Tribolium castaneum: one gene and its partner. The protein of the gene in region 2 purifies or fractionates together with the protein of the main gene of each other region. This does not show direct contact. Links are inferred from orthologs where the notes say so. Each region holds a gene or a part of one and is shown on either strand. Other genes may lie near its edges. The genes, in order: Mat1 and mrn.

Evidence for each region.
Region 1: the proteins of mrn (region 2) and Mat1 purify together in Homo sapiens (co-immunoprecipitation; 3 studies listed by BioGRID and IntAct, with this or other methods). This does not show direct contact. The link is inferred for Tribolium castaneum from reciprocal best matches to the Homo sapiens genes GTF2H4 and MNAT1.

Annotation. Positions count from the first base shown.
Region 1 is NC_087396.1:14,730,268-14,739,853, reverse strand, and holds Mat1 (CDK-activating kinase assembly factor MAT1), read right to left. Parts: upstream 6,072-9,586; 5' UTR 5,954-6,071; coding exon 5,006-5,953; 3' UTR 4,117-5,005; coding exon of another isoform or gene 3,895-4,116; 3' UTR 3,842-3,894; coding exon of another isoform or gene 3,654-3,841; 3' UTR 3,586-3,653; coding exon of another isoform or gene 3,498-3,585; 3' UTR 3,309-3,497; coding exon of another isoform or gene 3,204-3,308; 3' UTR 3,151-3,203; downstream 1-3,150. Other genes in the region: Myb (myb-related protein B), read right to left, coding at 958-989; Ras64B (ras-like protein 2), read left to right, coding at 3,204-3,308, 3,498-3,585, 3,654-3,841, 3,895-4,116; uncharacterized protein LOC664490, read left to right, coding at 8,238-9,162, 9,209-9,310, 9,365-9,502, 9,560-9,586.
Region 2 is NC_087396.1:20,770,045-20,779,501, forward strand, and holds mrn (general transcription factor IIH subunit 4), read right to left. Parts: upstream 4,432-9,457; 5' UTR 4,309-4,431; intron 4,283-4,308; exon of another isoform or gene 4,252-4,282; 5' UTR 4,232-4,251; coding exon 4,080-4,231; intron 4,035-4,079; coding exon 3,930-4,034; intron 3,881-3,929; coding exon 3,749-3,880; intron 3,697-3,748; coding exon 3,511-3,696; intron 3,463-3,510; coding exon 3,282-3,462; intron 3,225-3,281; coding exon 3,141-3,224; intron 3,049-3,140; coding exon 2,855-3,048; intron 2,804-2,854; coding exon 2,563-2,803; intron 2,519-2,562; coding exon 2,375-2,518; 3' UTR 2,348-2,374; downstream 1-2,347. Other genes in the region: ECSIT (evolutionarily conserved signaling intermediate in Toll pathway, mitochondrial), read left to right, coding at 1-741; G protein pathway suppressor 2, read right to left, coding at 768-1,156, 1,354-1,401, 1,462-1,688, 1,733-2,043. UniProt on the Homo sapiens protein: Component of the general transcription and DNA repair factor IIH (TFIIH) core complex, which is involved in general and transcription-coupled nucleotide excision repair (NER) of damaged DNA and, when complexed to CAK, in RNA transcription by RNA polymerase II.

The DNA of each region.
Region 1 (9,586 bases), about 6.0 Mb from region 2:
TCCGCTCATTTGTACAACAAACTATATCTGATCTCGAAAAGGGTTGACGTTACTTTTTTAATAATTCTTTTCTTTCATTGTTCGGTTGGAAGGCGTGGCCCTTGGAAAACTTTTCAGCACCAAGAAGCCTAGAACGATTGATTGACAATCGCTGGTTGTCGGCAAAGTTCCAAGCCTTACCACGAACCAATCTTTGGACAAAGAAAAGTAAAAACTCCTCACATAAATACTTTTTGTTTAGGAGTCATAAAAATAGACCGAGAATGAGGTGGGTTGTCCATTTTTCGGAAAAGATCACGGAACCACAAAAAGATAAGGGTGTGTTGTAGAAGGGCCTGGAGAGTAAATACGAGTATGAGGAAACGCAGCTTTTCGTGATAAGTTTTTTATCATTTCCTGTGGTCGCGTGTTGTAGAGATTCGTAAGGAAACGCGTACACGACACCCTCTTCAGTAAATATACACCTACGCATTCTGTTAGTTGGAAGATTAGAAGATTACATAATTGAACGCACGTTAATTTCATTCACGCTTATTCAACAAATTGCTCGCTTCTCATTGGCAAATTCAAATCAGTAAACAACATTTCAATTTCGCCGAATGATGTCATGAATAACCGTCTTTTGCAACGTGCTCTTCGTTCTTTGGAATCTTCGATTTCTTCACTTTTTTAGATAAGGGTGGCACGACTGGTACGAGGACCCACATTTCGGGAACAAAAGAACTGCGTCTTGCCAGGAATGACAATTAAAACTGCCCTAATTACATAATCAGGTCTTAATGTTTTACGCCGGTCTGGGTTTGGGGGTTGTGGCGGACTTTTTTATGGCGCCATTTTGTAAATAGGGGTCGGTTCATCCCGCGAGCTCCGCATTCCAGACGACCGTCGACCGGTTTATGGAGACAAACCGACGATCTTCTTCGGAGAAATAAGTTGGTTGGGAAGGATTCAGCTTACCTGTCTTGGCTAGACTGGTAGTAGTGAGCCATATCCACACGGGAGCCCCGTAGGGCTGCAGCACTCACGCAATGCACTCGCCGTGTTTACTTTAATTCGACAACAGTCACTCAGAGACCTCGCTTTTGGACTGCAAACGAAGGACGGTTTCTGGTTCTCAGCGCGCCTTTGACAACGGGAGGACCTGCGCAATGGGCACAAAAACAGGGGCGGACCAAGGAGGATATTCACCATACCAAGCGCCAGGCATGGGATAGAGGATTAAGGAACTGAAGGATCACACAAAAAGGCAAAAGGAATTTCCACAACTTAACAACTTCGCATAACCTTACTGTTAGTTTACTGTCAATTGGCAGAAGCTGCAATTGTGCCAACTTGAAGATGTCTTCTTTTTGTGAATTGTAACATAAAAAAACGCACAGCAAAGAATTTAAAAACTTGTAGTAATCAGATAACAAACAATTTTGTTAATAATAATAATATGAACATATCAACTAGCAAAAACCTTATTTTAAAAAATACATTTTAACAAATACAGTCGAACCTTTGTATCTCGAAATTTGGATATGTTGAAGAAATGATTGGCTGGGTCCTGTTTTAAACCAATGTAATTTTATGTCAAAAATCTTGAAGTCGAATTCCTTTTTAAATAAGTTGGATAGAAATTCGATTCCCTTTAGATGTAAACCTCCATGAGTCGAGCTGTTTTTTTGATCATTTGGGGAAACATGATACCGATAACAACATCTTCAGTCAAAGATACGTATAAGGTGTCTTAAAATTGGCAAATTCCAAAGCATTGTAGAGAACTTCTTTAGTATTCCAAATAAATATATTATAAAAAAAATAAAGATTCGTGGCTTCCCCACAAAGATACGTTGATTTGAAGTTTGAAGGTGCACTTCAAGTACATTGAATTGCGTTTTCTTCAAATGCAAACCAAAAATTTCAGTGTTTATTATTGTTTATGGTGTAGGTGATTGTAGAAAATAATAATGGCAAATAATTTCTCGAAAACCTAGCTTTATTTTGAAGTAAAAACATCTGTACTTTGTATTTTTTTAATGAAACGTTCACTTACAAAAATTTAAGATTTTTTTAAAATAAAGCTAATTTTTCGAGAAATTGTTTAACATTATTATTTTTCCACAATGACCCAGCTACACTATAAATGATAATAAACACCAAAATTTTGCATTTGAAGAAAACGCAATTCAAAAAGAATTCTGGAAACTAAAAACTGATTTCTGCAGCTAGTGAACAAATTCACACAAAATTCAAATCGGTGAAGTTTTTGAAAAAAAAATGTATCAAATAGTCATTTTTGTTGTAAACTTTAATAATTATTTTTGTTTATTTAAGAAATTCGGTACTTTTTGTGTACACTTTTTATAATAAGTTTCAAATAGTGCTATAAAAGCAGGAAAAGAGAGTGTAGATTAATTGTGCCAATAGTTATTAAAACATTATCTGTGTAAGTAATCTGTGGTTCTGGACTTTGTACAAATATTTTTATTGTAGTCGTATTCGTATTATAGTTATAATAAGATTAATAAGTTGAAATAATTTATGAAATGGAAAATAATCAGAACAACTTTAAATTAACTGCAACCACTTTAATTAATGGGTTCAACACAACAAAGTTTGAGATATAACATGAACTGTTTTTTTTTTTAATTTGGTTTGTGACTGTTATTTTCTGGCGAGTCCGTCCCTGAAAAGGGGGATGAACCAAGTACCTGATGGCCACATCTTGGAATGCGTCATCGCGGGGTGTTCGCTGGAACTGGCGGGAAACGAAGGTCAACGCATCTCCAGCTTCCACATTATGTAATTTTAATGCCCCATATTTACTTCTCGGAAAATGCTTTCCCACATCACCGGAAACACGCATTATTCATGAAACATGGTAATGGCATTTGCTAATTTGCATAAAAAACAACGAAGTCACCGACGGAAGGGTTGAAAATTAACACCGTGGGAGCATCACACACCCGCATCAATAAAATTTTCTTGCTAAATGCTCACATAGAGTGGTAAACAAGAAAAAGGATGATTTGTACTTGGCGCCGTCTAGTTGCCAACGTTGCGGCAGAATCGTGAATGTTACTAAATCTGTGACTAATTTTTTATTGGTAGGTTTAACTTCACGTTTAGTTGTTCTATATTTATTTTTTCCCTATTTTTAAATCAGTAGTTGAGTAAAGTCGTCGTAAATTAGTTTTAATTTGAAAAAGGAAATTAAAATGTCTAAGGTAACGGACAGGCCCAACAGTTATCAGACGTACAAATTGGTTATTGTGGGTGGAGGTGGTGTCGGAAAGTCCGCAATAACTTTGCAATTTATCCAGGTAATTATGCAAACACCGTCAATTTTGCATGTTTTCCGTTGTTGAAAAGGGCTGGTTTCATTAATCTAGCGTATGAAAATCGTCAGGTGTTATTGTCCCTAATTACATTTTCCTTTATATGGAGTGAAGTGTGTTTAACCTTGTAATTTATCCTACACTTTTGTGACAAGTTTCAAAACGAAATTCCAGAGCTACTTCGTTACCGACTACGACCCCACCATTGAGGACTCTTACACCAAACAATGTGTCATCGACGATATCCCCGCAAAACTAGACAGTAAGTAGCGCCCCAATGTTTACTCCCAAGCCCCAAAATAGCCCAAGGCTAACCCGCCAAAATTGCAGTTTTGGACACCGCCGGTCAGGAGGAATTCAGCGCCATGCGGGAACAATACATGAGATCGGGTGAAGGCTTCTTGCTCGTCTTTTCAGTAACAGAAAGGTCCAGCTTCGAGGAAGTGTACAAATTCCACAAACAGATCCTTAGAGTGAAGGACCGCGACGAGTTCCCCATGCTGATGGTGGGAAACAAGGTAATTCCTTGACCCTAATCTATTTTCCGTCCTTTGTAAACAGTTCCGTTTAGGTGGATCTGGAGCACCAGCGAGTCGTTTGGCAAGAGGAGGCGCAGCAGCTGGCCAGACAATTAAAAATCCCGTACATTGAATGCAGTGCCAAAATGAGGATGAATGTGGATAATGCCTTCTACGAACTGGTCCGCGTTGTGCGAAAATTCCAGTTATCGGAAAGACCGCCTCTAAAGACCGGCTACATGAAAAGGAACAAGAAAAAATGCTGCATGCTGTGAACGCGCACGCTAGACGCTTATTTTTATGTACACATCACTAAGGTTTTATGATATTTAAACGTAATTACGCTGTTAGGACATATCTGCACGGTCTTGTGTTCTTCTACAGATAAACAGGGGGACATTTGGCGTTTTCCCAGTGAAGTTTCCCAATCAAAATCCTTTTTACACTAATCAAAACTCCAGTGACCACACCCTTAGTGCGTATTGAATTTTCGTTGACCCCTTGTTTGTCTGATTTTAGCCGTCAAGCTCTATAAATATTGTATATAATATGTAGCTATAAAGAGAGGCAGACTTATATGAATATGACTCAAGCTTTTTTTGTATATAAGTTATTGTCTACCAAATAGAGAGTGAAAAACACCAATTTTATTTTTATATAAATTATATTTTTCTAGGCTACTAGTAGCTAGAATAGTTTTATGGATTCTTTGAGACAAATAAGATTGCCTGATTGTTCATTTAGAGATCTCGATAAAATTATTTCAACCGAAATAATTTTCAGTACATCACGTGAGATGATATTTACATTATGTAATTCCCATGAACACTGCCATTTGATGTTTTAATAGGCAGAATTGATTTAACAGAGTGTCAATTACATCTAATAAGCGAGTTACTAATGATATTTAGTTAGGCGGTAATAGACTTGACTCATATTTTTACACTAAACAAACGTTTGGTTTATTTCAAACTTACCAAAATAGCCCCCTTATTGATTGCTTAGTTTAACAGGTTTATCGCAAGTACAATTAGATGTAATCAACGGTGCTATTTATCGCGGGCACACTTTCTAGTTATAAATTTTAGATTTGTGTGTTCTATTTTAACAAAATAAATGTTTTAATGTACAAAAAATATCTTTATTCTCCAACACGTCAATAAATTAATGCACCGGCGCTTTCCTTACATGATACAGCCCCGAGAAGGCATCTTGCAGAGCCCTAACACACGCAATATTGGACCTGAAACCGCCAGCTCTCTCTTGCTCGTTTTCTGCCCGTACATGGTTCGTGTACCCCATACTGGCGATTTCTTCATCTGTTGGCAATTTGGGGCCATCGGTTTGCAAAACCAAAGGTTTATAAACAAATAAGGGGCCCTCTTCGATGGGAACAGGCAAAAATGAGCTTTGTGTCTGCCGCCCAATTTGAATCCCTGTTGAAAAGTGCGTCTTTTTGGCAGGCGCCGCCTTAGCCTCCTCCTCTTTGGCCTCCTTGGCTTGTTGGGCAAACGTTTCGACAATGTTTTTAGCATTTTCACTCGAAAACATCAACTCATCAATTAGCGCTTCCTTCTCCCGAATCTTCTTCTTCTTACTTTCAGTTTCCTCAATAATTATCTCCTGCTTACGCATCTCTTGCTGCTGTTTCTCCAACTCTAAGAGTTCCTCCAGCTCGTACTCTTCTCTCCCCAGTTTGCCTTTATTTTTCATTATTTGTTCGCGATTGTCGCGTTTGTATTGCTCAATCTTTTTGTTCGTGTTAACCACGTCGATGTTATTCGTCAGGTTGTAAATGATCGTCTCGACTTCCTCCAAATAATCGTTGAACTCAGCCAGCGAATTAAAATCCTCCTCTTTTTTGTTGAAATCGCGCAAGACGCGTTTGCGAATATCCACCTCTTTTTCAACTGAGGCATCCTCGAATAACTGGACGCGGAAGTTGTTGCGCCGGAGTGGAATGCGGCACTCGGGACAGCTCCCGGAGCCTTTGAGGAACAGCAAGTCCACGCAGCTTTCGCACAGCCCGTGGCCGCACACGTTTACCATCATTTTGAGTGATGGGTTTTGGAACTTTGAGGTCTTGCATCGCGGGCACGTAAAGTCCTCCATCGTGCAAGGAAAAGGGGGCAACTTTTTCGCACATCAACAGGAGCACATAACCTTACTTGCCGGCTGTCACACACATTGCTGTTACCACGTTATTTAATATTCGGAAGTAAAATTACCGTTGGGGGCGCCACTGAGCTAGGTCGAAAACAGTAACCATAAATGGCGGGAAAATGTTTATTCGGATATTTTGAGCGTTGTACGAATTTTGGGGCTTCACAATTATTACATTGCCTATGCGGAATGATTATTGCATCTTTGATGCAAGAAACTTATGTTGACAAATGTGAGATGACGAGGAAAACACGAATAACGAATGACTGTTTGGTTCACTTTCTTTATTGGAAAATTATTACAAAGACATTGAAAAGCCTACCTTTTGGCATAATTTACGTTTAAATGTATCAGCAGTTGTTAATCTTTATTGTAGTTTTGTAGATTTACCGCAGCATTTCATGATTTTTTCAGTGGAAAATTCTAACCTAAAATTCATAACACTTCACTAATTTATTGGTTTCTTGAGCCAAACTTTGTGTTCGCTGTGATCCATTACTTATAATCTTTAATTAAACAACTGCTTGATAACACTTTGTAATCAAAATTTAAATATTTTTCACTTTTTATCCACTTTCAAGTTCCAACAATAAACACTTTATACCACGAAAAACTACAGAACCAAAGTCAACGCTAGCATTTACCACCACGTACTTTTAAAGTAATTCTTTCTATTGTAAGTAATTAACACTATACACGCAAATTCATTAAATGTCAGTTAAATGTGGCATTACGAAAATTTCTTTACTGTTTTCGACATAGTTCAAAAGTCATCACCAGAGGGCGTGTAGTTAATTTTATTTCCGAATTGAAATTGCTTATAAGCAGAATTTGAGGCAAATAAGTATCAAAACAAATACAATAGCAAATACGAAGCCTAAGCAATGTTTTTCTTGATAAATTGAACCTTCAGCAGTTTTTATAATAGTTCAAATGCTCCGTGGCAGTAGATCAACCGTTTAAGCTGCGGGAAATGAGGCGCGAAAAATTGTAATTTGAAACCCAGTTTTAAATTATTACTATAAAAGCTTTATTTACACTGACTGTGCACACAAAAATAAAAACACTATAACAGTTTTTTTGAAACTGTAAGTTTTTATAATTATATAATAAAATTATATGATTTTATTAAAAAAATCTTTTTTTAATTTATTCTTCCCTCCTAAGGCTTAAGCACAGATTATATGGAGTTTACTCAAGTAAACAGACTTGTTGCAATATTTTGTGATGAATTAAAATGCTTATATCAAGTACAATAATTATTAAGAAGTTCTGCTTGAAAAAAAATATGATATTGAAGGTCAGAAAACAAAAACAAAAGCTATTTATATCTAATATTCCCTGGGAATAAATCAAATGAAATCATCTTTCGTAAAGTATTCTGCTTTTAACGTTCATGTGTACCAAAATTTTTAATTTACTAAAGACAAGAAATTGTGTCACTTAAATAAAAAAACACAAATTGAGAGTTTCTATATTAAACTAAATCCCAGCGACAAATTTTTTGAGCCAAGAAAACCCACCAAAAACTCTCAATTTGTGCTCCATTTCATTACAAAAAATGCAAATGAGTTGTTGCAAAACTCCACTATGAACTGAAATGGGACAATATGTAAGTTTTTTGATTTACGTTTCTAGACGATTGAACAAATAAGTAGGTACATAATTATACTATTCTTATTAACCTTTGATCTGTCTGATTGTTCACTTTGTTATTTTTTATCCCACAAAATGATGCAGATAATCACATGGCAAAGAATGCTACCGTAAACGGGCTTTGAAAATTTGTAACTATACTCACACACATGAGTTCAATAACCAAATTTGGTAGATTATTTAATTATAGATATTGTTATCTCCGTGTTTTTGTAAATTTCAATACAATGACGTGACATTGCTTATTAATATTTATTTATTCCGCAACCTTAACATTAAGCGCATCTTCATGAAAACAAGATCCGTCATGCTATCTCGCACTATCAAACGTAAAACGCCAGTAAAGTTCAAATGATCAAGATAATTAGCCACTTTAAATCCCCAACCGGAATGCAGCTTGATCATGTAACTTTTATTTCTTTTTTGCCGTTTCTCCTCCAACATCTTTAAATCACTGTAAGGCCACCGACTCGCCCCAAGAAACCTGTTCTCAGTGAGAATCCATCTATTCAGCTATGCTGCACGCGATTTACTATGAAACCAAAAACTGTCCTTAAGTGAAGTGTCTTTGACAAAAATGGCATCGACGGCGGAACTGGTCACCGCGTCCGTCGCGGACCTCCAGCCGAAGACCTTCCGGACGATGACCACCAAAGAGCGCCTCCACTACATCAAGAACATAATCACCGTGGAGCCCCTAATCGCGGCGTACCTCCTCGCTTCCATCATCTGCGGGCCCGCGCTGTACAACCTCGAGTTCGAGAAGGGCTGCCGGTCCAACCTGCAGCTCAATGACTCCATCTGCGACGCCATCCTCAGCGGAGAGGCCACAAATTACTCGGAGGAGAACGAGAAAATCCAGATTTTGATCGGGGACATGCACTCGTGGCAGATACCCCTCCAGAGCGTCATGCCCCTAATTTTGGTCCTGTTTTTGGGGTCGTACAGCGACAGGCACAAGCTGCGCAAGCCCTTTCTCTTGATTCCCGTCCTGGGGGAGTTTTTCGCCGTCGCGGGGTGCATCCTGTGTGTTGTTTTCATGAAAGAGTGGCCGCTGGCGTCACAAGGGATCGCTCAGACGGTCATCCCGTCTTTCTTCGGGGGCCAGACGATGATTGTCATGGCTGTTTTTGCCTACATTGCTGATGTCAGCACTGTGGAGATGCGGACTTTAAGGGTCGGGGTTGTGCAAATCGTTTTGAACGTTTGCACTCCTGTGGGACAGGCTGTTAGTGGGATTTTGTTTGAGAAAATCGGCTATTATGGAGTTTTGTCGATTGCCGTTGTTTGTTATTTATTCGCGATTTTGTACGGGATTTTTTGGATTAAAGAACCGCATCAGCCCGATGTTATTTCAAAGAAATCGTTTTTTGTCGATGCTTTTGACCCCAAACATGCGGTGGAAACTTTCAATCTTCTATTCAAAAAGAGCAAAGGGAATAATCGAGCGTTCGTGGTCGCCGTTTTGTTCATTTTGTTCATTTACAGTATAGTGGTTACAGGTTGGTAACAGTGTTTGGTTTTCCTCGGATTTAAACCTGGTTGTAGGTGAAGGAGGAGTTTTTTATTTGTACGTTCAAGGATTTTTTAACTGGGGTCCTCTTGAATACAGTTACTTTATTACTATTAATACCGTTATTCATTTAGTGGGTGAGTACCAAAGTACCAAATGAGATACACGAATTAGAGTTAATTTTATTAAAGGGACATTAATTGGGGTTCCCCTATTTACCAAATTTCTCTCACTGGGGGATTTGATGATTTTACTCATCACATTTGTGGATAAAATTGTAACAAATATTGTTTTCGGTTTGGCCAAAACTGATGTCATGTTATATGTTGGTAACTCTTTAGATTTAATTTTTAAATTGTACGTAATTATTGTGACTTGTCTTTTAGCCACTGCTGTAAGCATAATTACCGGAA
Region 2 (9,457 bases):
ATTATCGACTTACTCGAACAAATGGAAGACAACGCTGTGATGCCCGACTACGACATGGAGGAGCTTTTGAAAAATATTTTCGGAAATCGGGGATTCCCCTTGCGCAAATATTGGCGGATGATGTACTGGATGCCCAAATTTAAAAACGCGTCGCCTTGGCCCATCCCGAACCCGCTCCCTGACGGCGTGTACGAGCTGGCAAAGTGCGCAATTGAGCGGATCAGCAGTGTGGACATCCAGACACAAGTTACGACGTATCAGAGTAAAGACATCGAGGATTGTGTGGACGATACGTGGATTATTAGCGCGCAAGCCCCCATCCAGAAGGACCTGTTGAAGAGACACGACGTGACGGAGCCTTTGTACGTCGAGGGGCCCTTTCGCGTCTGGCTGAAGCACCAACAAGTGACTTACTTCACCTTGCGCAAAAACGCCAAATTCGTAGCTCCAATCAAAGAGGATCTAGATGATGTCAGTGACATTAAAATCCCCTTTTTCAACATCAAGCCACCCGTGAAAAATCTGACAGTGGTACCAAGTGTCCATGAGCAAGAAGATGGTACTATTCTGGCACTATGTGCTACTGGGACCTCCAGTAAAGACTCACTAGTTTCGTGGATTCGGCATTTGGAAAAGGATAATCCGGTGTTGGCCGAAGTTCCGGTAGTTTTTACGCTTCGGAGCGGAACTAAAGAAATTGTCACAGTTGGCGATGATAGGAAACAAATTGAAAATAAATGAATTAGTTAGTTATTAATTTTTATTTCTTATTCTCTTGGAGGATAATTCATTGGAGTCCCTGGCGATTGATACAACGGCCGACTTTGAGCCGTATAAAGTGACGCGGGGGCTGATTGTTGGTATTGTTGTTGGCTCCTGACGGGGTACCCCGCTGTGATGCTCCCAGTCTTGGGCTGCGCGGGGCTCAAGGGTATGGAGCCCCCATGAATGACGTGTCCGTGCGAACTCGGTACTCTTAGAGTGTAATGTTCGGGTAATTTCTGCTCCAAGTGGTACGTTTGGGGCCGTGGGGGCTCGTAGGCGCTCCTAGAGGGTGGGGGCTCCCGCGACGAGATGGACCCCAAAGGATAATACATCGAAATATCCTGCGGAGAGACCGAATAAAACGTTGCTTGCTGACTCGGATATTGCGTCTCTGAAATTATCGACGAAATTACAACACTGAAAAGTGATAATTAAATGGAAAAAGCATGAATGGGTGGTGATAAATGAAGCCACAACTTTCTCGACTAATGAAGGAAGCTTCCCTTCACCCAGAAAAAATTAAGTGGTGCCTGAGTGAAAAGAACCTCTTCATTATGAATGAAGCTAAAGTGGTGTAGAAACACTCACTGTTCCATAAAACTGCCCTCACTAACTCATTACGTCTACCATCATCTTCTGCAAACAAAATCGGTTAAAACCTAGCTAGAACATTACCACGAAACAGTGAATAATTACTTTGGGGCGAGTTCTGGTAGGAAGAGACCGCCACTGAGGGCTTGTAGCCATAGCCTTGGTGGTAGGACGACACGGGGGCCGGCTGCGGGCTAGGGCTCCGCGGGCGTTTGACCGCAGTTTTAAACGTTTGTTGCTGGGGCACAGCATTGCGGGGCACACTGGGCGAGATGTACAACGGCTGGTGGTGCACCAGACCCGTCGGGAGGGCTTGAATCGCCAGCACGTCACTAAAAAGTGGTCTTTAAACAATGCAATACTAAAAATGACCCACTTGTTCTCCTTCTGTCGCCTCCTATTATCATCCTCGTTGAGGACTTTTTTCAACTGTAAAAACAACTGGTGTTTCTCCTCTTTCAGTTTCTGGAGCTTGCTCTCAAGCTGTGAGATCTGTTCGCGGGTTTCACCCAAAGTCATGACGTCTTGTTGCTCGCGAGCTTCGCGTTCTTTACGGAGACGTTCCTCTTCCACTTCGGCCTCCCGTTCTTGCTTTTTGCGAGCGCGCTCACGCAGAATGTGCGCTTTGAGCACCTTCCACATCTGCTCGGACCGATCCGGCTTGCTGTTGTCCACAGCGGCAGGCATTTTGCACAAATTACGAATTATTTCGTATTGTTATTTTACAGGAACTGTCAATGTCAACATGACGTTTGACACTTGTCGGCAGGATTGCCAACAATTTATTGGCCAGATTTTAACCAAAATTGGGCGAAAACTCAAATTTTTGACCCGCTTCCACATGTTTTTTTTAGTTTAAGCACTTGGGCCGAAACTCCCAACATTTTGATACGAATTTGTAGCGAAAAACGCCCGTTTCGCGTGAAAACAGAATTGGTTTAGATTGGCGATACTGTTTCATCCGCGAGGGAATTTTAAATGAAACACGATCAGTGGTAAAGTTTTTATTAAATCTAAATTAATTTCCTTTCGAATATCGCTTCCAGAACTTTTTAACATCATCATGTGCCGATTTATTGATGATTAGAGTCCGTTTTTCTTTGTTACACCAAATTAGATGGCCATTAGACTGTGCATACTCTTTCAGTATATTAAAATCAGCCTAAAACACAAATTAAAACCGCGTAACAATTTTTCTTGTAATACCTGTGATAGGAATTGGCTGTATAAAACGCCCTCTGAATACGTTAATCTGTTCCGCTCAATTTCCCACAGTTTGATTTGATCCACAACTGTCGGAGGTAGAGGATGTTTGGCCTCACCTTCCAACATTTGAGGATGTGCATGTTGTTTGAGGTACCCGATAATTTGATCGGCTGTGATTCCCCCTTTCAAAGCCTGTCTTATGGAATCACGTGTTATTACGCCCACTACAAGGTTCGGAAACCTGGGAAAAGTCCGATAGTCATAACATTTTTTTATTTATTTTGTGACCCACCTATACATCAGTTCTGTGAAAAGACCAATTAAAGCAACTTGAAGATTAGAATCCGTGTAAGCATAAACCCTGTAGTTTGTCTCTACAATTATGTAACCTTTTGGAGTGTCTTCCTCCAAAATTCGAGTTTCGGGGCCTTGGCTACACGTAATATTTAAGGCCAATCTGGTCGGGTAAAAACGGCCTGCTTTGCGCTACAAAATTAATTACATTAATCATGGGTGCTGTGGAATGTGACGTCCAGAAAAAAAAATTTGGTAACCATGGTAACGAAAACAAGACCTACTTTTCTTTGATACACTAATCCGAATTCTCTCAAGTGTTGGAGAAAAATTAAAAGGCCGGGACTCATGCCTTCAGTGCTATAATCCTACAAAAAAATGTTGCTATTAAAAAAAAACGCCAAGTGTTATGAGTTATGACATACTTTTCCAAGTGTACTAAATGAGAGTTGGAATAAAAACGTTAAACATTCAACCAGACTTAATCCTCTTTGCTCAACTGTGTCGAGATATTGGAGTAAAAAATGCCAAACTTGTGCTTGCCTATCTAAGAGTAAAAACTGGAAGCCTTGACGTGTTATAACAGGACTGCCATCTTCCTCGTCTCTACATAAATATAAATAAGATAACGAGTCAATTTTGGAGAAATTCAACCTTTTCATAAGCCCAGCGTGTAGTAAAATTCTGACAGCATCCGCAGAAATTCCCTCTTGTTGTTGCGACCCCACCATGTAATGTAACACACATTCCCACCGTTCGAGCGAATAAGCGTCCAAAAAAGACACATCTCTTGCCTTACTGTCAACTTCTAAAGCCGAAGACATGCTCCAAGGTTTGCCCCTTGGGATAAATCACGCAGTCATTGCAATAATCACACTAATTACACTCTCACCCCCCTAATAAGGCAATTTTCAAATTCTTTTTAAACGTAACTGAAAGGATCCAACCTAGGAGCCCCCCTGGAATCGCAGCCTCCTGCCATACCGACAATTCGCTCAAAACCTTACTCACATAAACGTGCTCTCTACAAATAACCCCCCTTTTCGTGTGTACAAGCGCATTTAAACACTCACTTGGAAAAGGCCTGAGCCCCCCATGACGCCACAACTGCCTGGGGCACCGGCTGTTCAACGAACAAAATTCGAATCACGTACTGGCGTGCCAGTTCTGGCAATTCTCTAAAATCGTCAATCGAAATTTGGAATTTTAAAGTGGGTTTTTACCGGTAAACGGCCAAACAAATCGTTGGATGGTTGTAGAGTTTTTCCAACGTTGCCGAAGAGCGCGTTTTTAAGTAGTCGTACAAGTTTTTACATTCTAAGTTTGTTGGTTTCAAAAAAAGCGAGCTGGGTTGCGCGGGCTCGGCGTCTGCCATTTAAACAGCCCCCTTGCAAACTTAAAATTAGGGTTAGGGTAACTACTGTCAACGCAATTGTCAGATTTAAAGCTAACCCAACTTTTCCTCCGAAGGAGTTGTTATTTAATTAACCACTCGCTTCGTCTTAATAAGTGTAGAAAAAACTTGGTTTTCGCTCTGCTTCGAAATGCCAAGTTTTTGGGCATAAAATATTTTGGCTATGTTTTTTTAATTATTCAAACGTTGGGGAATTTGGGTGGCAGGGTTGGTCAAAAATATTACGGTGACGATAGCACTTTGGAAAGAGCTAGCACCATGAAATTTCCAGCGGACCAGTCAAATCACGGATGTGCGTTTTCAGCACTTTGCGACGTTGCTACGTTTCTCACAAATTATAAGAAAATAAATTATTTACTCATTTTCTTTTAAAATTCAAGTGTATTGTTATTAAAAAAAATAAAGTAAATGCAATTTCAAACTTGTTGTATCTTTGAAAGCAATGGGGGATGTAGATAGTTTACTAGTTGACACAAAAAGGTGAAACCGCCTAATAAAGGCAAAACAAAAACGAGGAGGGCATGCTACCCAATTATTTAGGGGGCAGATTCCACCTAAATAAGATAATTATTCGTTAATTTCTTCTTCAAAAACATTATTTGAAAAAAAAAGTTAATAGAACGACATACTAATTCAAACAGAGGGTTAGATGTCTTCCCAAACTTTTAGAGGATTGAAATTTTCAAGAAAGGTAGGTATTTAATGGGCTTTCATGTGGAATGGGTTAAATGCGTCGACAAAAAGAAATAGTACTAGAAAAAAATATTTAATATTATTAATAAAATGTTGACATATTTCAAACTAAGGGTTGGATGTCTTCCCAAACTTTTAGAGGGTTGAAATTTTCAGGAAAGGTAGAGTATTTAATGGGCTTTCATGTGGAATGGGTTAAATGCGTCGACAAAAAGAAATAGTACTAAAAAAAATATTTAATATTATTAATAAAATGTTGACATATTTCAAACTAAGGGTTAGATGTCTTCTTAAACTTTTAGAGGGTTGAAATTTTCAGGAAAGGTAGAGTATTTAATGGGCTTTCATGTGGAATGGGTTAAATGCGTCGACAAAAAGAAATAGTACTAGAAAAAAATATTTAATATTATTAATAAAATGTTGACATATTTCAAACTAAGGGTTGGATGTCTTCCCAAACTTTTAGAGGGATGAAATTTTCAGGAAAGGTAGAGTATTTAATGGGCTTTCATGTGGAATGGGTTAAATGCGTCGACAAAAAGAAATAGTACTAGAAAAAAATATTTAATATTATTAATAAAATGTTGACATATTTCAAACTAAGGGTTGGATGTCTTCCCAAACTTTTAGAGGGATGAAATTTTAAGGAAAGGTAGAGTATTTAATGGGCTTTCATGTGGAATGGGTTAAATGCGTCGACAAAAAGAAATAGTACTAAAAAAATATTTAATATTATTAATAAAATGTTGACATATTTCAAACTAAGGGTTGGATGTCTTCCCAAACTTTTAGAGGGATGAAATTTTCAGGAAAGGTAGAGTATTTAATGGGCTTTCATGTGGAATGGGTTAAATGCGTCGACAAAAATGGAAAGTTAATTTTGTAAGACATAAAAAAGCCAGTTGAAGCCAGTTTTGCACTTTTATGTCAATCAAATTACAATTCGTCCGAAATTCTGTATTTGTAATTATTATTTTTTATAATAATTATAATGCTTATCTCTTTCTTGGCAGCGACCTTGTGATAAGTATCTGGGTAATAATAATAAAATCACAATTCGTGCATTTTGATAAATTATAAATTTTTGAAGAACTGCTTTTCTCGTAGGTACCTTAAAACGAAAATTAGTTTATTGAAGTCGTGTTAATGAGCCGATTTTTACGAGATAAAAAGGTAAAAAGGGTATACCGATTATTTGGAAAACATTTTATTGGTCTACTTAGAATCATCCCGGCTTCCCGGCTACGCGGTATTTTCTTAGAATTTAGAGTAATCGTCTGCTACCTTATCTCTGTCTGCTATAACGAGTTATACCGATTCTCGATTCATCTGAATTTGCAGTTATTGCATGGCTTTGGTGATAGCAGGTGTATTTTGCTGAGCTTTTGCGCGAATTAATTTTGTAAGAACCTTTTTGCTTTTCGGAATCTTTTCTTTTGTTTTTAGTTTATTGGTTTTGTTTTCAGCATTTATAGTCGTTAGTTTTAGAATTTTTAGATTTTTTAGTTTTTGAATTTTTGGGTTTTTTTAGTTTTAGAATTTTTAGTTTTTAGTTTTTTATTATTATTTTTGTTGTCTACTTTAAAAAATGCCCAAGAATTTTGATTTCAAGGAATTAGCCGATTTTATCAAAAGTTTGGCTCCTAATACATCACTTACATACATCGCAAATCTACCTTTAAGTGATCGGATTATTCATGAATCTTCTATTTACATGTTCCGCCTTTCTAAACCTAGCAAACGAAGGTTAAACGATTGTAAAAATCGTATTAAGAAAATTTTGTCGCGGAACGAAGGAAACATAAAACAGTTTTTCCATAAAAAAATCGTCGAATCCAAAATCATTTCTAATAGTCCCGTTTTTTTTGATAATCATTACACTACTGAAAAAAATGATTTTTCAATTAACTCACCAGAATCCACCAATCAGTTTTCTTCTTTCGATAATTACAATGATTTCCATATTACCGATTTTTCAGTGAATGACGTTCCAAATTCAATAAAAAATTTATATAACCAACCTAATAAATCAAAATTTACTCTTTTGCCAGAAAATTCACAAAATGATATATCAATAAAACGTTTAAAACCAATGTCTTTTAAAAATTGTAATATTAAAGAAGGCACTTTTTCACTAAGTTATGAACAATTTAATGACATTAAATTTAATAATTCTTTAATTAACTATCAAATTACTGTGAGGAAGAAATTTGCAACAGTTAATAATATTTGTCCTCTTAATTTTAAAAAACACCAATCAGACAAGAAAGGAAAAAAATTTACAATTTATGCATATTGTGCACATGAAAATTGTAAAGTGTTTATCATTAAATTGTCGCCAGAAAAACATGATATTATTGGAACCGTTTTTAGTAATACACTAAATTATCGGCACGATAACCAAAAAAGGACAACTTTTGTGAGAAATTTTGAAAGACAGCTATTAGGAAATAAATTGCAGACATCGACTCCATTCATGACACGAGTTCGGGATACAAATTTTGTTCCCTCGGATCAAATTCGCGCAGGAAATTATGATAATATAAAATCCAAACATGTGTACAAAAAAATCAAGTCACAGACTCTTTCTAAATTAGATAGAGATACAGACGAATTTTTCGATCTTATAAAAATGTCGAGAGAAAACCGCCAGTATATTTATCGCGTTTTTGAGCCCCTAACAGTGTATTTATTTAGTATTGAACAGTTAGAAGTTATTAAACATGCACTGTCTCAAACAAATAATGGGTTTATAGTTTTACATTTAGATGCAACCGGAAGTGTCGTCCATTCTCCCCCTGAGACGAAAAAACGTGTTTATTATTACGCTGGAGTGGTACACATCAAAGATAAAGAACTTGTTTGTCCTGTTTTCGAAATGATAACTTCCGAACATGATGGTTATTCTATTGGTTCATGGTTACAGGCTTTTGAATCATTTATTGTTAAAAGTAAACAGCTAAAATGGCCCATTTTTTCTTATGTGGTTACCGATTTTAGTTTCGCTTTTATTAACGCCATCACCACACAGTGGAATAAAATGGATGATATTAGTGTATACTTAAATATTGTATACGATTATATAACATCAGAAACGACTGTTCGACCAAAAATCACTTTAAAATTATGTTGCGCTCATTTTATGAAATTAATAACAAATGACATTAACAAGATTTGCGGTAGCAATAAAACTCAAAAAAAATTTTTCAAACATTCTATAGCAGCTGTTTTTATGAAAACATCTTTACCTGAAGTGGAGAAGTGGTTCAAAAAGATGGTTTTAATTACTTCAAAAGAATTTTTAGATCTCGATGGGAAATTAAGCAATGTAATAAGCAAAATGTTTGATACATTAAATAATAGTAAAGATCTAGAAGACATAGATGAGGAAACTGAAACCGAAACTGAGGACACCGAAATTCCCCATACACTTTATCAAAAAAGCAAGTTTTATAGACATTTTTTCAAAATATGTGAACAAGATAAGAAAATGATTAATAGTGCAATAGATTCAGATAATATCAATATATTCTACAATCCTCTGATTTTAGATCTCATTTTAAAAAAATATTTACCAATTTTACCTCTTTGGTCAAATATTTATCCAAATTTACGTGATCGTGATAGTATTGGAAGATTTAGCAATGCGCCTGTGGAAAATTGGTTTTGTCAGGTGAAAAATAATATTTTGAAGCCAACTGGACTAAGACTTCGAAGTACTAGATTTATTCGAGTAGTTCGAGAAGTTGTCTTGAGTAAATCAAAAGAATGTGCACTTAATATAGATAAAAATCAATGTGCTATCATAAAGAAAAAGCGGATACAAACAAAAAATATTGATTTAGGATTAGAATCAGAAGAAAACTGGAACAAAAAAATTAAATCCGAAAAGAAAAAGTCATATTTTGAAAAACCAATTAACGAAATTCATCCTTCCCGTTCAAAATTCAATTCCAAAGTAAAAGAAATTAAAAACGTAGATTTTTATAATAACAATTTAATTCGAGATGACAGGTATTATACATTGGGAAACTCAGGCGTCAATTACGTTGTAGGATATTATTCTAATGCTCATCCAATGAAAGAACTTTACCTTGAAGATTTCGAGACTTTGGGAAATTTTAAAAATTTTAGAAAAATGTGGCTATCAAATTTTCTTATGGACATAAGTCTTCATGTTTTATATACAAAAAATCAACATAAAGACACTGTTCGTATCATCACAACGCATGAAACATTATCAATTTTTGAAAACACTTGTCCAAAACTTACTCACACACTAGAAGGAATTTGGTTGTTGCCTTTGTTAATAAATCAAAACCATTGGTGCTTTGTGATAATAGACTTTAATAAAAAAACATTTAGTTTCATTAACCCACTCAAAATAAGCAACCTTAATCAAACTGAAACATACTTAAAAAAATTTTTATTAGGAATTAGAGCACCAAGGCGATTTTCTTTTACGCATTGGAGATGTAATATTTTTAAACATCC